3 linked regions of the Tribolium castaneum genome follow. The protein of the gene in region 1 interacts with the protein of each later gene in a pairwise test. Links are inferred from orthologs where the notes say so. Each region holds a gene or a part of one and is shown in the gene's direction. Other genes may lie near its edges.

The links. The genes of interacting proteins can lie anywhere in the genome.
Region 2: the proteins of Klc (region 1) and Khc interact in binary tests that used the Drosophila melanogaster proteins (3 or more experiments, as listed by UniProt). The link is inferred for Tribolium castaneum from reciprocal best matches to the Drosophila melanogaster genes Klc and Khc.
Region 3: the proteins of Klc (region 1) and zinc finger MYND domain-containing protein 11 interact in a two-hybrid assay, tested with the Drosophila melanogaster proteins (2 studies listed by BioGRID). The link is inferred for Tribolium castaneum from reciprocal best matches to the Drosophila melanogaster genes Klc and CG8569.

The regions. Positions count from the first base shown.
Region 1 is NC_087402.1:3,658,599-3,665,579, forward strand, and holds the start of Klc (kinesin light chain), read left to right. Parts: upstream 1-3,065; 5' UTR 3,066-3,091; coding exon of another isoform or gene 3,092-3,108; intron 3,109-3,526; 5' UTR 3,527-3,599; coding exon 3,600-3,628; intron 3,629-3,789; coding exon 3,790-4,006; intron 4,007-5,650; coding exon 5,651-5,963; intron 5,964-6,023; coding exon 6,024-6,517; intron 6,518-6,611; coding exon 6,612-6,816; intron 6,817-6,937; coding exon 6,938-6,981. Other genes in the region: eIF5 (eukaryotic translation initiation factor 5), read right to left, coding at 1-64, 119-405. UniProt on the Drosophila melanogaster protein: Kinesin is a microtubule-associated force-producing protein that may play a role in organelle transport. The light chain may function in coupling of cargo to the heavy chain or in the modulation of its ATPase activity.
Region 2 is NC_087395.1:25,845,299-25,851,401, forward strand, and holds part of Khc (kinesin heavy chain), read left to right. Parts: intron 1-1,843; coding exon 1,844-3,778; intron 3,779-3,876; coding exon 3,877-4,034; intron 4,035-4,084; coding exon 4,085-4,186; intron 4,187-5,576; coding exon 5,577-5,694; intron 5,695-5,742; coding exon 5,743-6,002; intron 6,003-6,067; coding exon 6,068-6,103. UniProt on the Drosophila melanogaster protein: Kinesin is a microtubule-associated force-producing protein that may play a role in organelle transport. Milt and Miro form an essential protein complex that links Khc to mitochondria for light chain-independent, anterograde transport of mitochondria.
Region 3 is NC_087398.1:12,804,511-12,810,154, forward strand, and holds the end of zinc finger MYND domain-containing protein 11, read left to right. Parts: intron 1-666; 5' UTR 667-668; coding exon 669-856; intron 857-900; coding exon 901-982; intron 983-1,027; coding exon 1,028-1,450; intron 1,451-1,497; coding exon 1,498-1,711; intron 1,712-1,753; coding exon 1,754-1,950; intron 1,951-1,996; coding exon 1,997-2,399; intron 2,400-2,445; coding exon 2,446-2,590; intron 2,591-2,638; coding exon 2,639-2,756; intron 2,757-2,805; coding exon 2,806-2,973; intron 2,974-3,021; coding exon 3,022-3,144; 3' UTR 3,145-3,565; downstream 3,566-5,644. Other genes in the region: protein LZIC, read right to left, coding at 3,576-3,707, 3,756-3,911, 3,961-4,096, 4,149-4,249; eukaryotic translation initiation factor 4 gamma 3, read left to right, coding at 4,919-4,983.

The DNA.
Region 1 (6,981 bases):
GCTGCGTTTGGTGGAGACAAGCAGCTCGGTTTCAGGGTTCTCACATTCGGGACACAAAACGAATCTATTTTTTTTATTTTTTGAATTAAAGATATTTTTTCGAGTTTGGTTTACTTACTTCCGGATGAAGCCATCGAGTAGGTCTTGTAGTTTGCCCGCATCGTGCGATCCATTGACGATAAATCTTTCGTTTTTGAAATCGAATTGAGTCTGAGCGCCCAACTCGCAGCCAAAGTACTTCGTCGGATAGGTGGGGGGTCGGCCTAGGGCCTTGGCCACTTCGGCCATATTAACAATGACCGTTTTGATGCCGTTACCTTTGCCCTCCACTTTGGCCATCAGCCGGGGCATCTTGTAGCGATAAAAGACATCGCTGACGCTGCGATTGACGTTGACGCTGCCCATGGTTGTGGTGCCAGTGGCGTACCAACGACGATTTTAATGTCAATGGTTGCGGTGATTTTATTATTTTGATTACTGGTGGTGAAAGAATTTTTGCTGCTGTTTTTCGCAATTCGGACGTCAGTCACGTTTCTCTGAAGGGCTGGAGTTTCCGATGCCTATTTGTCGATGAAAATTTTGTCGTCCTATAACAGGTGGGCTCACGTCGCTGCGAAGTCATACACCTCGCTGGCTCGGGCCCTAAACTCCCAACTATGCTTTTGGTTAATAATGTCTCTGGAAGAAACAATTCGTGTTAATTTCACTCATGCAACGAGATTCAGAATAAGCAACTTCGTTATCAATCTTGTTTTACGCTTAATGATATAAAATAAACCGAAATTGCTAAATTAATCGGCCATGCCGTGCTGAATTTTAAGCCATAAATTTCAAAGATACATAAAAAATTCCATTAAAAAACGTAAAATCATTGTAAATGGTAAATATTAACAGCGTTATCTTTTTGCTTTTAAAATATTTCTATTTAATTTTAGCTATAAAGTTGTAACTCAGAATAAAATGGCCCTAAAAAAACATTTTTAGATCCGACACCGTTAAAGATAGCGACACGGCCTTAATCCCGTACAACTGTTTCTTTACACTTTTTTATTCTCAGCGTTTTGAAGAATTTTTTCCACCGCACTAAATTTTTTGTCTCGTTTCGCCTTCTAGTTTTAGTTCCCCGTAAGTGCATAAAAGCAAAAAAAACGTACTTAGTAAATCTGCAATATTCTGTTTTCCAACTGCATTAAGGGTAAAATCAGCATACGTACGAGAAATTTGACAATCGGCTTGAATTTTTGTACCTAATTTCGTGCGCAACTTAATCGTTTTATGCAAATGTTGTTATCTAACCGGCGTTAGCGTGCTTTCGAGTGAATAAAACGGCACAAATTGTGTAATAAAACTCACATTATGGGGCAGAGCGGCAGCGAACCCGTCAGCAAATTCATGAATTTTTTTCTAAATGACACTGGGTCACTTTAAAAACAGTTAACAAGGAAATAAATCGAGAGACGTGGTGACGTCACGCGCCGGCGCATCCCTATCCCGGAGCCCCGGCTCCGGAAAGGCCCCCATCTTACCTTTAACGCAAAATTCGCATCGAATCTGCCTGTTTTCCGGTTACCATATGGTCTGTTTGTAATCACAACTTGCGGTAATAAACTGGTTGCGTGACCATTGAAAATGCGACAAAACCGTCCGTTTCGTGATAATTAAGTACCATAATAGGTCGGTGGTACATCGAGACGATGAAAAATTTCGAACGGAACTACATTTGACGAAAATTTTTTGACATGTGCCAGACCATCATTGCCTACTTAACTTACGGGTCTCACCATCGTGGAAAGGCGACAGCATGGGCATGGGGGAGGCCGTTTGCCCCTCGGTCGTGGCTTGGAGAGCAGTTATGTTGAGGTTTTTCAGGGCGCGCACCGAGACTGAGGCCACGTAAGCGTCGCGGCGCGAATCGATGTCGTCGAACCGGCGCAATGCCACGGCCATATCGATCACCACAATGCGACACGATTATTTTTATAGCGCACGCCACTGCTCGCCCGGAAAATTACAAACCCCGCAAACACGCCTCCACTGGTTTATTTGAACAGACCGCGCAGTCACGTGACACCAGCGCTGCCTTCGTACAAAAAAAAATAAAAAGCGTGCTCGATTGTTTATGGAAATTGGATGTTACGTCATGCTTTTACTGCAAAAATCGAACTGATAACGCTATCACCTACCTTTGTGGCTTACTAAAGTCATATAAAATGGTAGCGCCCTTCTGGACGATGACTCCCACAGAAGCAAAAACTAAAGAAAAAGGTCCGTTCAAGGGTCGATCAAGGAAAGTGTCCGGCTGGAGTTTGCTGCAAAAACACCGAGTTTGATTTATTTTTAGGCAGAAAAAATAAGCAAAAAGTATGCATGTAACGTGATCTCACCTTTTATTTGTAGCACCTTCCACGGACCATCTATGACCGAATTAACGCTCAAACAATTAGACGACACGTCAGACAAAGTACTAAACTAATTAAAATGCCAGTTTGAAGGCACAATTGGGGGAAAAACCAACAACACAGCTAAATTGCTGCTACTTTACTGAATCGCCATATGCAGATAGTCGCCTGACTTTTCGACGAACTCACAGGTGCGCACCCGCAACCGGACAAAACTTAAATCCCTAAATTGACACGAAAAAATCGGCTAAAACGGGCTTTGCCCTCTAAATTTGTCCACAGTCGTTTCGGCAAAGTGTTTAATTAATTACTGGGGTGTGTTTTGCAAGCCAGAACCCTGATTTGTGTTACTTTAACCCGGCTTAGTGGCACCCGGTAGGTGGCGCCCCTGATTTGGCAATCATCTGTCACTCTTCTAACACTGAGAGAAAAAGGAATGAGAAGAGAGTTATCAAAAGCGCAGCCATTAATGTCAGAAGAAAGTGATTGCAGTGTCAAAAATAGCCCAATTTGAGTGTTTTAACGCTTGGCTGCCAAATAAAGGTGAGTAAGCGTCCCCCCGATCGTTTGGGGGCACAGTTCAAGTGTCGGTGTCCTTCCTTCCGTTGGTCAATTTTTGTGATTTATTTATGTCGCAGGTTACGCTATGGTCTACTGATTGCCATAGCAGGTGAGCAGTGCATTCCCGTGGCATGGATGATAGCAACACGTAAGTATTTTTCAATCGTCACGCTTGGCAAAGTAACGAGGAAGCGCCCCTGTAAAAATCGGGCGTGAGTCACGGCTCGGAGTGTACGCCCCCGCCGTCACACGTGTATTGGTTTCCGATCGAAAGGGGTGCAAATTTCTGATGGGGTTCGTCGGGCTATGGGGCGCAGGCGCGGCGTCGCGACGCAGTACGTTTGATGCACCGACGTCAGTTTTCGCGTTTTTACCGAAAGTGGCACACCCTTTTTCGAGCTATGGGGTGGAAAGGGAAGGCGGCGTGATGTTCTAGGGGGCCTTATTATTGATTGCGGGGGTGATCGTTGACCAAAAATATATTTTTGCATTGTCTCATATTCCGTCTTGTGATAACGCCTTGCACTTTTACAATAATCAAAAATATAAATAAGGTTTTTGTATAGACGCTCAATTTAAACGATCGTGAGGTGATGAACGAGGTGCTCATTGGAATTAAGAGGACGCATTCGAAAAAACATGTCTAAAACGATCAACGCGTATAGGATGTAAGTTGGTTTTGTTTTCAGTTCAAGCTTTTGTGTTCTTGTGGCGGTCTTGCTTGCCTTTCGTTTGTGCTACTTGAAATCCGGCGTTTTTTCTACAAATTTCTAACCTAATTGTGGCATAATTCCGCCGCCACTTCCTTGAAGTTGTCGTTTATTTCCAGTAAGAAAATTGAAAGTTTGGGAAAAATGACGGCGATGTCGCAGGAAGAGATCGTCTCAGCTGTGCGAACGGTGGCTCAGGGGTTGGAGGCGCTCCGCTCAGAGCACGCCGGCATCCTCCATGGCCTCCACGAAGCCCCCGATCCGGTGGCCAATGAACGCGCCGGTCTGGTGCAACAAAGTGCAGAAATGATCGAATTGGGACTGGGAGAAGCGCAAGTATGTTCTATTTTTCTTTCTAATCAGATAAAATCGTCGGTGTGTGAGAGACGAAAGGGGCACCCGATTGCATCGATCGGGGAGCACCGATGACTCATACTAAGGCGAGTGGGGAGGGAAGGAAAAGGAAGGAGAGTGTCGAAGCCAATTGATGACTTTCTAAAATTGGATTTAATTTATTTTGTCGCGGTTCTATTATTTTCGACGGGATTTCAGATGCCAATCGATTATAATTGGAGGATTAAGATAAGAGATTGGGTTGTAATAAACCATGAAATGATTGTTTGTTTGTTTTGAATGAGAGATAAAAAAGAAATGGCGGCCTAATTCCGGGTTTAATTTGTTTTATTTGAAAAAAAAAATAAATAAATAATTAAAAATTGTGAAAGTCGTACTTGGATTACGAGTTGTAGAAACTAACAATTATTTAACTGTAACAAACCATGCAATTTAAAAGTTAAATGGTAAATTTGACCTAGAACTTGAAGTTTTCTTCTATAATTACAGATAAAAATACCTGATTAAAACTGAAAAAAATCTTCTTATAAGTCAGTTTATACCGGTCTTGAGTAAATTACATATGATATTATTTCACAACCTACCCAAAAATTATATTGTCATTAGATTGTGTACCCACGATTTTAATTAAAAAATTTAAAAAATAATTATTGAGACCAAAGTACAATATTCAGTTTTATTGTTGATTGTTCATAAAAATCTCATTTGCTTGTAATAACGTCATCACTGTCATTACATGCATAAGAATAATAAGTTTGGTGATGAGTTTATTCATGAATTTGCTTCAATAATATTCACAATACTTCCAAGTGTCTTAAATATCTTTTGAATGATACTTTTGAAGGTGACGAAACAACAATTATTATTGTTAAATCATTATACTTTTACCATATTTCTTAACAAAAATTGGGTGTTTACAAATTAAAATCTGTATCAATTAGACTTTCTTTCTGCTCATCGAGCTTTAAATCTCGTGGGATGATTATTGATGATGTTTATTGCGGTTTTTATGTCCTCACCCTATCCTTTTGTTTTTCTATTTCCACGTTTTTTATTCAAACGTTGTTTTTCGTTCTTGGTTTCCAGGAAAAACAAGTTTTTATGGCTTTGGTTATAGGGCTGTAAAAAACTTGGTGCCTCAAGTATGTTCGATATTTTTTGTATAACATGATGGCCTGTTTCGGTAAATAATTGTTAAATTAACACTAAAAAGTTCTTCGTTTGGCAGCCTGTAATCAAATTAATTTAAGCCGATCGTAAAATTGAGATAATTTCATCGTCTTATTGTAGCAAGTGTCATAAAAATAATTCGCTTTTGTTTGTTAATTTACTTATTAAACTGAATTTTTTCTTTCTGACATAATTAACTCCTGCTGATGCCTGATTTTAAAAATGAAACCACTGACCACAAAAATACAATAATTATAGTCTCTTGTAACGAAAAAAAGTCGCGTGTTCGAACTGTCCTTGGACAAGTCTCCTCACTGATTTTTTAAATTGTTACTCAAAATCAATGAAAGTAATTAAATTTGTGAATTTAAACACCGTGAAAGGGATTTTGCTTCCAGGGAAACGCATTAATTGGTAGAAATGTCGCATTTTAAGGCAAGTAAATTTCTCCTTCAGGTGATAATGGCCTTGGCCAACCACCTCCAATTAATCGAGGCCGAAAAACAAAAACTGCGAACTCAAGTGCGTCGCTTATGCCAAGAAAACGCATGGTTAAGAGACGAATTGGCCTCCACCCAACAAAGACTCCAAGCAAGCGAACAGACCGTGGCCCAATTAGAAGAAGAAAAACGTCATTTGGAATTTATGAGCTCCGTTAGTAAATACGATCAGGACGTCAACGACGACAACACTAGCGAGCACTCACGAAGCGAAAAACCAGATCCGGTCGTCGATCTTTTCCCAGACGATGATAACGAGGATCGAAATAGTAGGTTTACGAAATTGTAAAGGGTGGAAAAAAATGACAATCTTTTGTGTTCTTTTAAAGATATGTCACCAACGCCACCCAATCAATTGCAACTTTCACAACAAGTGAATGCCGGATATGAAATTCCGGCACGACTTCGCACGCTGCATAACTTGGTGATTCAATACGCCTCTCAAGGACGGTACGAAGTGGCTGTGCCGTTATGCAAGCAGGCACTGGAGGATTTGGAAAAAACAAGCGGACATGACCATCCAGACGTCGCCACGATGCTGAATATCCTAGCTTTGGTCTATCGGGATCAAAATAAGTACAAAGAGGCGGCGAATTTGTTAAACGATGCTTTGGCAATTCGCGAGAAAACTTTGGGGGAGAACCATCCGGCCGTCGCTGCCACTCTTAACAATTTGGCTGTTTTGTACGGGAAAAGGGGCAAGTACAAGGAGGCCGAGCCTCTGTGCAAACGCGCCTTAGACATACGAGAGAAAGTGCTAGGGCGCGACCATCCCGACGTCGCCAAACAGCTGAACAACCTCGCTTTGCTCTGCCAGAATCAGGTAAAGGAAACTTTGCATAACGCACGATAAATCATGTTTGAACGACTTGTCCAAAAAAAAAAGCTTTGATCAATTTATTTTATGTTGGTCATAGGGCAAATACGAGGAGGTGGAGAAGTATTACCAGCGCGCGCTGGAGATTTACGAGAAGCGGCTGGGCCCCGACGACCCCAACGTCAGCAAAACAATGAACAATCTGGCTTCTTGCTATTTGAAGCAGGGCAAGTACAAAGAAGCCGAAGTCCTATACAAGCAAATCCTGAACCGGGCACACGAGCGCGAGTTCGGAACAATCGATGGTGAGCGCAAATCTTAATTCTAGCGGGCATTCCTCCAGTATTTGTACAGTTATCTGAATATAATAATCTTGCATGAATAGTCGTTTTATTGCGTTTTCCTGAATCCTTTGTTTGTTGTCAGGTGATAACAAACCGATTTGGCAAGTGGCGGAGGAACGCGAAGAG
Region 2 (6,103 bases), on another chromosome or scaffold:
TTTTGGCTGAGATTATCTCAGATTGTGTGTTTGTTGGGTAAAGGTTAATTAATTTCGTTAAAAAACATCGGATCGATCAAGGATAAGTCGAGAGAAGGAAATAATCCATGAGGGTGCACACGTTCACACTTTTGTTTCTGCTTGGTTTATTATTCGGATGTGCAAGAAAGCTAGAAATGCGTTCGTTCTGTGGGCGAAGAAAGCGCTAATTCGTTCGGGTGATTAATTTTGCATTGTGTTCGACTTTCCATCGTTTTAAGATTAAAAAAATTAGAGGCGTATTGCTGTAGGATTCGGTCGCGTGTTTGGTGGAAGTAGGTAGTGTTATTTTCACTATTCTATTCACAACCTACGACCAAAAGTAACCAATCGATAGTTCTTACAGAGCGTTGAACCTTTTTCTGTGATGTAATTATCTTCAAAGGGGAGGGGAAATTATTATTTCAATATTTAATAAGATAATGAGAACGTATTTTTGTCAAGCTTTTTACCTAAAGTGATCGATTAATTGTTTTGCCGTTGCTTTCGATTAACGCTGGATTGATTGCTTCGTTTTCGCGTTGTTTTTTTTTAATTTTTCAGACTTTGTTTACATTCTCTCTTTTGCGGAGTGTTCCGTTTTCTTCACAATCAATAATCAGGCTCTGCCCTTGACCGAGCGTTCGTTCTATTTAGGTCCTCTCTTCTGTTTTGCAACATTGTACACAAATCCAGGACGCGTTTTATGAATTATTTAAAAGAAATCAAATTTCAAGCTCTGATAAAAGCAATTACACCGTTGTTTTATAAATAGATGTACGGAACGATCGTATCAAAAAATCAATGTGTTGTAACTTTAAAAAATTATTTAATCTCGTTTTGCAAAGTCACGATTCTGATATTTAAGTTACAATTGCTACTGTCTGTTTTTAATCTTGCATATCTCGAAGTCTCGCCTGGTTAAGTTAATTATAAATGAGATGAATCAGGAAATAACTGTCGGTTTTATTTGTTTATTTTCGTAGAAAATTGGTCGTGACGCGTTAGAAAGTGATGTCAGGTATTAAAATAGTTTGCGATGATTTTCTGATAATAGTTTTTATGTCAATTGATAAAAACCAAGATATTTTACGATTTTTTTGCAGTTCTGGACAAATTTTGAATTTTTTCGAAAAAAAAATTTAACTTTTTAGTTTATGATCATAAGTAAAACACACTAAATGGAAAGTATAAGGTGAGTCACTGTTTTCTCTTATTAAATTTTCTAGATTTTTAGTACCTGTCACATTTATTTATAATTTAATATTCAATGCTAATAAAAAATATCCCTGTATTAAATTAAATATCGGTCAAAAGAAAAAATGCTGTGTTTTTTATTTTTAATTTTTTTAACTACTATTTAACTGAAATACAACGAAAAAAAACAGTGAAACCCGGTATTAAACCTCAATTTTTTTATAGCGACTTTCAGGAAGTCCATTTTTTACACGTTTTGTTACACTTCTTGTAAAATTATTTGAATTATTGTTGTATTGTATTTGCCTTTAATATGAAACCTAAATAAAAACTTGGTATTTTTATTTAGTTTTATTTAATTTTTAAACATAGGAAAAGGCACAGCTGCAAAAATTTTTTTGGTCGGGTGTCCGGTTTTTTACTTTCTTCATATTCTATGTGAGATAAAGCGCAGAAAACGAATGATAATTCGGTCAAAAACTGTTCCACATTTCGAACGTCGCTCCGCATAATTGGCTATTACGTAAAACCTTAATTATTGATCCGAGTGTTGTAAACAAACCGGGTCAATTTTTTCCCGATTATGACTCACACTTTGAGGAAGTGTTTCATGTAATTGTTCTTTCAGGGTAAAGTCTACTTATTCGACAAGGTATTCAAACCGAATGCAACTCAAGAAAAAGTGTACAATGAGGCGGCCAAGAGCATCGTGTCCGATGTTTTGGCCGGTTATAACGGCACAATCTTCGCCTATGGACAAACCTCGTCGGGTAAAACCCACACGATGGAAGGCGTAATAGGTGATCCACAAAAACAGGGTATAATACCCCGCATAGTCAACGATATCTTCAATCATATTTACGCAATGGAAGAGAATCTTGAGTTTCACATCAAGGTTTCGTATTTTGAAATCTACATGGACAAAATTAGGGATTTATTGGACGTTTCCAAAGTGAATTTATCGGTCCACGAGGACAAAAACCGAGTTCCTTACGTGAAAGGTGCCACCGAACGGTTCGTCTCAAGTCCTGAGGAGGTTTTCGAATCGATTGAAGAAGGCAAATCCAACCGACACATCGCTGTGACAAACATGAACGAGCACTCGTCTCGATCACACTCAGTATTTTTGATAAACGTCAAGCAAGAGAATCTAGAAAATCAGAAAAAACTTTCGGGGAAATTGTATTTGGTCGATTTGGCTGGTTCGGAAAAAGTCTCCAAAACCGGGGCTGAAGGAACAGTGCTAGACGAAGCCAAAAACATTAACAAGTCACTTTCGGCCCTTGGTAACGTGATCAGTGCTTTAGCCGACGGAAACAAAACACACATACCTTACCGTGACTCTAAACTAACAAGAATCCTGCAAGAATCCTTGGGCGGAAACGCCCGAACAACAATTGTGATTTGTTGTTCTCCAGCGAGTTTCAACGAATCCGAGACGAAATCGACGCTCGATTTCGGCAAACGAGCCAAAACTGTTAAAAACGTCGTCTGTGTCAATGAGGAACTCACGGCCGAAGAATGGAAACGTCGCTACGAAAAAGAAAAGGAAAAAGTGGCGCGTCTTAAAGGCAAAGTTGAGAAACTTGAGAGCGAGTTGCAACGTTGGAGGGCTGGAGAAACGGTCAAAGCCGAGGAACAAGTCAACTTGAACGAACTAACCGAAGCTGTGACTCCTGTCTCTGGAATGGAGGAAAGCACAGTGGAGAAACAGGGACCTGTCCCGGCAACCCCAGCCCTCATGATCGGCTCAACCCTCGATGTGGAAGAACGCAGGAAACTGGAGCTGGAACGCGAGCGACTCTACCAACAACTGGACGAAAAAGACGAAGAGATCAACGAGCAAAGCCAATACGTTGAGAAACTCAAGGAGCAGATGTTGGAACAGGACGAGTTGATTGCAAGCACGCGACGCGACTACGAAGCGCTCCAAGCGGAAATGAACCGAATCCAGCAGGAGAATGAGAGTGCCAAGGAGGAGGTCAAGGAAGTCCTGCAAGCGCTTGAAGAACTGGCCGTTAACTACGACCAAAAGTCGCAAGAAGTGGACGCCAAGAACAAGGAGATGGAAACCCTGTCCGAGGAGCTGATGCAGAAGCAAGCCAGCTTGAATACCACGACCACCGAATTGCAGCAATTGCGGGACATGTCGAGTCATCAAAAGAAGCGAATCGCCGAGATGTTGAGCAATTTGCTGAAGGAGTTGGGCGAGATTGGGTCGACTTTGGGGAGTGACGGGTCCGAGATTAAGATCTCCAATGATGCGGCTAAGCTGGAGGAGGAGTTTACGGTTGCACGTTTGTATATTTCGCGGATGAAGAGTGAAGTTACGAATTTGACGCAGCGATTGCACGAAATTGAAAACAAGGAACAGGATAGTAACAAGAAGGTCACGGAGTATGAGAAGGAGTTGGGGGAGTGTAGGTTGTTGATTTCGCAACACGAGGCCAGGATGAAGAGTCTACAAGAGTCGATGCGCGAAGCTGAGAACAAGAAGCGGATGCTGGAGGAGAGTGTTGATGCCTTGAGGGAGGAGTGTGCGAAGTTGAAGGCCGCTGAACAAGTAAGTTTTTTAATTCGAGAGAGAAATACAATTCAAAACATCTCGAAATTAAAAGAAAAAAAGAGTGTTTACAGGTTGCTAGATTAACGTTTTTGCAGGTTTCGAGCGCCAGCGAGAGCGAGAAGAAGGAAGCGAACGAGCTGCGATTGGCTCTCGAGCAGCAAATGGACCAATTACGTGTCGCTCATCAGAAGCAAGTGGCGGCGTTACGCGACGAAATCGCCGAAAAGCAGCAATTGATCAACGATATCAAAGAGTGTGTTACGTCATGTGTTTTTTGTTTTGTTTTGATTTGTTTTTTCACAGTTCGAACCAGAAGTTGTCGCTCGCCCAGCAACAGTTGCAGTCTGAATACGAGAAAGTCAAGTCGGAAGAAGCCGAAAAGTCGCAGAAATTGCAGGAGCTCATGTCAGTAAAGTGTAAACGCTCATTCCCGTGTTCCCCCAAATCCGCCACAAAACTCTTACCTCATCCTTCAAGTCCCGATTGGGAGAAATTTTTGCCTTATGTCGATCCAGTGCCTAAACATGCAAAAGACGCGTTGAATAGTTTCACAAAATTGGCGAAAAATCAATGCTCGATGTCGATTTTTCACATACATACGTTCCATTTGCATTTGTTTATTTCCCTAACTTTGTTATTGGTCACACATAGGTGTCCACAATATCTAGTCGTTGTCTAAATCTAGTCGCGGGCGATTTTATTATATTGTGATAATTTGGTGCATTTCGATTTGAAACTAATCCATTCCTTTGAAAAGTGATTTTTCCTGTGATTTATTTTGAAAAATATTGCGTAGTATTATTTTTTATTTTTTTAAACATTTTTTGGCATAGTCACATCACGCCACTGTTTGGTTTTGAGTTTTATTTTATAGTTGATACACGTGTGACTAACTAGTCAGTGGTTACGAAACAAAACAGCACAGTATTTTGTATTTTTGCTTTGTGATGAGGCCATTTAACTAAAAGGAGCCGCGGAAAGCCCGATTTAATAAAAACAAAAATGCTGATACAGCCAGTGACTACGTATATCTTGCTATTGCCAAGTTATACTGTCGCAAAATGGCAAATTTTTAATTATTACTTATTTTTCTTTTGTTGAATTTATCTAAAGTCTATAGAAGGTGGATCAAGGTGAGTCTGTTCAAAAACAAATAAAAAAAATATATTTCATATCAAAAACTGATTAGTTTTTGAAATATAGCAAACGATGAAGAAATGTTTTAAATTTAAACTTAAACTGAGAAAAACCACAAAAAAATTCTGGAAACTTGATTGAATATAAAAATAAAATCAAAATTTGGAACATTAGATAAAACAAAATCAGGGCATTATTTAGTGCAAGATTTTATTCAAGTTTTTCGAGTTTTGTAACATTTTTTTTATTATTAAATCGCGGCTTGTTACCGGTTTTGCATATCACTGTATAAAAACGAATCAAAAATTAAAAAAAACGACAATAGCGAGCTCAAACTTTGGATCTAAGTGGTCTTGTAGTATTGTTGTATGATAATAATAATGTAAATAAGAGAGTGTTAGCAATAGTGTATAAAAAATCGTTGCATATTTTAAAGGCAATTATTTTTGAATTTCTCGTAGTTGAAATTGTTGACTATTTCTAAACCTAGACGACCTGTCTGTGTTATGTGTTTGTATTGTTTTCGTTTTGGTTTTTGTCGAGTAGTAAGCGTAATATTTTTGGTTGTCGTGTGACGACACAAATAAAACCTGACCAAACAAATCCGTGAGCGTGGTGTGGCTTGAATGCTGAAACGCTGATGGATAATATTCTGCAGTACCACGAACGAACGACGCGAACAAGCACGGAAAGACCTCCGAGGATTGGAAGACACCGTCGCCAAGGAGTTGCAAACCCTTCACAATCTCCGAAAATTATTCGTCCAGGACTTACAGGTGGGTACGAGCGACGTAGCGACGAGTGGTGAAACAATGCTGTTGTAGGCACGGATGAAGAAAAATCTCTCGGCTGAAGATAACGAAGAAGACGGCGGTTCGTTGGCCCAGAAACAGAAAATCTCGTTTTTGGAGAATAATTTGGACCAGTTGACCAAAGTGCATAAGCAACTTGTGAGAGATAATGCCGATTTGAGGTGCGAGTTGCCCAAGCTGGAGAAGAGGCTAAGGGCGACCATGGAGAGGGTGAAGGCGCTGGAGACGGCGCTCAAGGAGGCCAAGGAGGGCGCCATGAGGGATCGCAAAAGGTTGGCGCTCACATTTTTCTCAATTACGGCAAAATCGCCAATAAATGTTTTGTTTTTTTTTTCAGATATCAATACGAGGTGGACCGGATCAAGGAAGCCGT
Region 3 (5,644 bases), on another chromosome or scaffold:
ATTCCAATAAAAATTGTATTGAGCGATTCGGACAAAGCGGGAACTGTGATATTTTGCAAGTTTGTTGTTTTGAGAAAACGGACGAAATACACCGAACTCACGGCTCCGATCAAGATCAAAATCACGGCGATTAGGACATAAGTCGCGTACATTTTGCCAAAAACGGACCGATTGTTGCAAGTTGAAAAATCGAACTGAAGCGTTCTACCCTCATTCGGTGTCTAATGGGTGTTATGTGGGCTTGAAGTATGTTATCCGTGGTTTATTACGTTTTAATTTGAAAACAGTTATTGATAAACTACCGTTCAAACGTATCAAGACGATTTTTTACTGGCTTCCGAACTTCCGATGCCTCGGTGTTTTTTAATTTGTAATAGATATCAACTGTGCTATCTGAGTTATTCCAGGATTGAATCGTGAATATTTGTAATTTGTTATCTAATTAGTAATTAGTCAGCGAGCGAAGCAAATACGTTTTAATTACTCGCTCAATTAATTATGTATTTTTTGAAAAATTTCGCCAAAAATTTAACATTTTGGCCCGCACTCTAGAGAAACTGGCTAGCAATAAGTGTGTCGGGAAAGTGAACTTATCAAAATACTTTCCAAATTTCGAAAATTATCAAAATGGATTTTGAGGCCGCCGTTTTTGTTTGTAAATTGCAGGTATGCCTATCAGAAGAGCAGCCGATCCGATCACCGTCCAACATGTGTGGGATGCAATTCGATCGGCGGTTCTGCAGCGCCAAATGGCCGATTCGAAACGAATAATAAAATATTTGCAACGCGTGGACAACTGTACCTACGCCCAAGCCGAATTATACGTGCAACAGACGCATCAAGACGGACTGATTGTGTTAGTAGCGAAACAAATTAAATAAATACACACCCTAATTTTAGCTCCGACAGGGCCTTACAGAAAGTAACCAAAACGTCAAAAGGGGACTTGGTGGACAGCTTTCGGATACCTACACACGAAGTGGTACGTGATTTTTTTTTAATATTGTTGTTTGATTAAAATTATTAGCCGCCCTTGGACGGGAAAGACTGGTATTGCTTCGAATGCCACCTCGCCGGTGATGTGACCGCCTGCCAACAGTGTTTCCGCGTTTTCCATGCGGACTGTGTCCCAAACGGCCGTCTCAAGTTCCAGGAATATAAGAAAACTAATATTCTTTATGACCAGTTGAGTAAATCAGGGGTGAAGGATGAGTCGACGAGTAATTCAGTGAATTCGATTAATATTTCGTCGGATTCCGACGACTTGAATGCGAGTGAGTTGAGTACTTACAAATTTAATAACAACGGACAAATGAAAAGTGATGCGCTTGAGTATGACGAAACGTTGTGCAGCATGTGCAACGTTTCCAAGCTGGACGATGGCTGTAATTTAGAAAAGTCTGAACTGAATTATCTCCTTAAATTTGTAATACACAGGATTCAGTCTTGGGTAAACATTCCAACTCGATAGAAAATTTAATTAGGGAGTGATTGCAGTTGCCGCACACTTTAACACACACCATGGCCCAGCAAGAGCGGCCCGAGTGGCTAACAGACAAGGAGCTGAGTTGGCGGGCAAACCAGCTATTTTTCGAACACAGAGACATGTCCGTCATTGAGGTGAACCTAAATAACGAGTCGTACACGAAACTGTACCAATTTCTCGCCGATGTTTTAACAATCCAACACAACGTTGCGATTTTTCACGGAAGTATGTCCAAATAATTGTTGTTTCTTTACCATTTGTTCGCAGTTGAGTCGCAGGAATACGGGGCTGCGGAACTTATGATTAGAGACTGCATGCACGACCTGACCGAGTTGAAACTTTGCGTTGATTGTTACCGCCATAGTAATGAGAAAATTAACGCTAAGTGGTTCTGTTTGCCGTGCAGAGTGCCTCATAAGTTAGTTTGGGCCAAACAAAAGGGCTACCCCTATTGGCCTGCTAAAGTGGGTAGATGGTCGCTTATATGTGTTTAGTAATTCCGCGTTTTAGGTGATTCAAGAGACGAGCACGCATTTTGATGTTAGGTTTTTTGGGGGTAAATACGAAAGGTCGCTTCTGATCAAATCGTTAATTAAACCGATTGAAACGCCGCAATCGAAGTTGCAAATAAAGACGTCTTCGGCGTTTAACAAGGCGGTGGAGGAGTTAAGGTTCCATCAGCGCTTGATGCAGAACCCTGACGAGCTCCAGAAGTTGATCAGTTCGTCGAAAAACAGGGTCAGGAGTTTAAATAAGCAGCGAATTTCGACGTTGAAGAAGTCGCTTAATAGTTCACTGGAAGTGAAAAAGAGAAATTCATTTGAAATGAATGATGTTTACAAGTTTGAGGATAATCCATTCGGTCAGCAAAATTTAAGCCTAACGCATAAACGTAAAAGCAGTTTTTGTGAAGGTAATTTCGTTGTCTTGTGTTACTTGCGTCTTATTTGATTAATTAGGAAGTCCCGTGTCGAAAAAAAATTCAACTAGTTCCGTGGAGAAAAACGAGGAAGTTCACAATACTTCCGATAGCGTTATACACATATCAGACGGCGAAGACGATGAGTATCCCTATTACGATTATTCATCGGTTTCTAATACAAAGTAAATATGTGTGTCAGGTGTTTCCGAGTTTAATTTTTTTATTGTTAGCTATAATGGTTCATATGAGCAAGTTTCAAGTTCCACTGAAAATTACAGATTCCAGGACAGAAGCCAGGAAAATGGGATGCAGCAACTTGATCACCCTTATAGTGATTCAGTTGAAAAGGTTTGCTAATAAGCGACGTTACAGTAACTTGCTCACGGTTGGTTTGTAGATGAGAAGAAGACTTGAATGTGTGAGTGATAAAAAAGAGCTTATAAAGTGTGCAATGGACTGTATGCAAAGTGAGATTGATCAAATTACAAATAATCACAATGATCATTTGAAAAGGTTGTTTGAGTCCCACAATGCGCAGATATCGGAGATTAAGAAAAAGCAATGGGTAAGAAAGATTGGCCAAAATGAGCGGTTGTAATTCATTCATTTCCAGTGCTATAATTGCGAACAGGAAGCCATTTATCATTGTTGCTGGAACACGGCGTATTGTTCCCAAAGTTGTCAACAACAGCACTGGCAAGCAGAACATAAAAAAGTTTGCAGGCGTAAGCGCTAGTTTCATACAAAAATTAAAAAATGTTATTTTGTGTATTATCTATTTTTATAGTTTGTTTATCCTCTAATATCATTATGTAGAGTAATGGGAACATTGGCGTAATTTTCATTGTTTTGGTACTTTTTAGGACCAAGTTACGAAAGTACAATTCTAGTTAACTTTTTAATTGTAGGCAATAACTTGAGTTGTAAGAGTTTATCACATAGTGTTGTTGAAACTTCCAAATCATTTTTAAACGTTGTATCACAATTGAAAGTTATGCCACTACTTCATTGTTTGTTCTTATTTTATGGTTTAAAATAGTATTGCTTATAAATTTTATGTATTTGCAACGGAAGATACAATAAATGGCAAACGACCTGTTCTTTTATCTGCAGCTTTGTTAAATTATATGCATGTACAAATAAAGCCCTTATTTCTTGGTGCGTTTTTCATTCATCAGTCACTTCCACAAACTCAACGTTTTGGAAAGCATTGGCAATATTATTGTGTTTCTCCAAAAACTGCAGCTCTTCCATTGATAACTGTTCCCCCAGTTGTCTCAATGCAGTTAATATTTCAGCCTAGAAAAATGAATAAGTAATCACGTCTGAAATTGCTAGGTAAATGACCTTTTGTCTGTTAGTAGCTTCATCACTCAATTTATTAAGTTTACACTCTTGCTCAATACTGGATAATCGTTCTCTCAACTGCTTTGGTTCTCTTTTGCCAAAAAGTCTGATAACCTCTGGCGTTTTAAACGCTTCTGATATGGCAGCTTGTGTGGCCTTGAAAAATCGTATTTGATTTTTTGAAAAAATAAAGAACTGTTTTTACAAGTTGTACGGCTCCGAGGGCACTAACAAGTGAGATATCGCCTTTGACTAGTTTCGATAAGCTATCGTTTAATTCCTTTAACTGATCCATCGTGTCCTGTTTAGTCTCCTCATATTCCTCCGGGTCTAAATCCGCTCTAAAAATGCAGTTTCATCATTCGGGAGCATTGAAACGCGGTGACGACTAACTTGCAATTTTCTAAATCTCCCAGTTGTTCGACTAGTCTGTCCAGTTGATTTTCCAAATTTTGTTTCAGTTTCGCGGTTTCGACTTTTCCATAGGAGGTCATTTTGGTTGATTTGCAACTCAATTACTGGAAATTTGCATTTTTTTGTAGGTTAGATCAATTTCTGGACAATGCCCGTTATTTTTTCAAGTGAGCGGTTGGGTTAACTTTCGACGTACGGCGTGTTTGGTGTTTTTGTTGTTGGTGGGGGTTAAGTGAGAGAGGGACGCCGGGCGTGCGTCTTTGCTAAGGAAAAATTGTTTTAGTTGTGTAATTTTCCGTTGGGTGCGCTAGGTGTGCTTTTCTAGCAACGTGAAAGCCGCGTGTCAGTTTTAATAAAGTTGTAAGTTTAATTTAAATTTGAAGAAGTGACATTGGTTAAATTCGAGTTCGCATTAAGTTCGGGAGTGTGGAGGCTGTTGTCCGAATAGTGCAAGCACGGCCCGGAGTGCGTCACGAAACTAAAGAAAACAATCATGTTTTTGGGTTAAAAGTCCGCCATCTTGAAACATATCTTAACCTTTGATTAGTAATAGTGGTAGTGTTATCTAAGTGACGATTTCGAAAAATCCAGCATCATCAACATCGAATTTCGGTCTTTGGGTGCGACGATGTTGCGAAGCTTGTGAACTGGCCGGAAATGTGTGTTGTGCTGTCAGTTCTGAACATATGCAGTCGCTGAGAACGGATACGCGGCGGCCTCTGTGAGGGACGCGGCGCCCCAGGGCTGACATGAGCGGCAACCAGAAGCAGACAGCCGGGAGGGGGCCCCAAAACCAGGCCTACTCCACCACACTGTATCCTTTGAGTTACGCCCATCTGTCACCCGACTGTCATCCCCCCTGTCTTAATTGTTGCTGGCGCTGCATTGTTTTGAGTAGAATGTGAACGCCAGGCTGGTAAACTTTCATTAGTTCACATTCACCTGTCTATGCAGGCCACCAACCGCAGTCATTACCAATCCATATGGTGTTCCACACAAATCACGCCCAATAATTACAATTCGCGATTTGTTTCAATTTCGAACTCGCGTGACGGGGCTCCAGCTTGTTGCATCACTATGTGAAAAGTGAAGTGGTGGCATTGGATGTCAAGCGAATTCGCTGCTCTTTCCCTGATTTAATTACATAATTGTGTGTCATATTGCCACGCACGATAAACGCAGGTAAGGTCAGGTGTGACTTCGCCCTAGTTCATTACCGACACCTCCTGGTTCGGTTTCGAGTGCCTTTTTACCAAATGTTTTTTTGCTGGGTTTTCCCCGAATTTTTTTAAAAATGACCAGTTGAATGCGATGGTTGATGGTTGATCCGGAGTTGTGGTTGCGCATGCGTTCCCATTGTTCCTGGCGGCGGAACCAGGAACCAAGTCCCCAATGTTGCCAGGTCTGGTGATCTTTCACCAGATTTGGTGACTTTGATGCCAATCTTGTGAAATTCTGTGATTTTTGGCAACGGA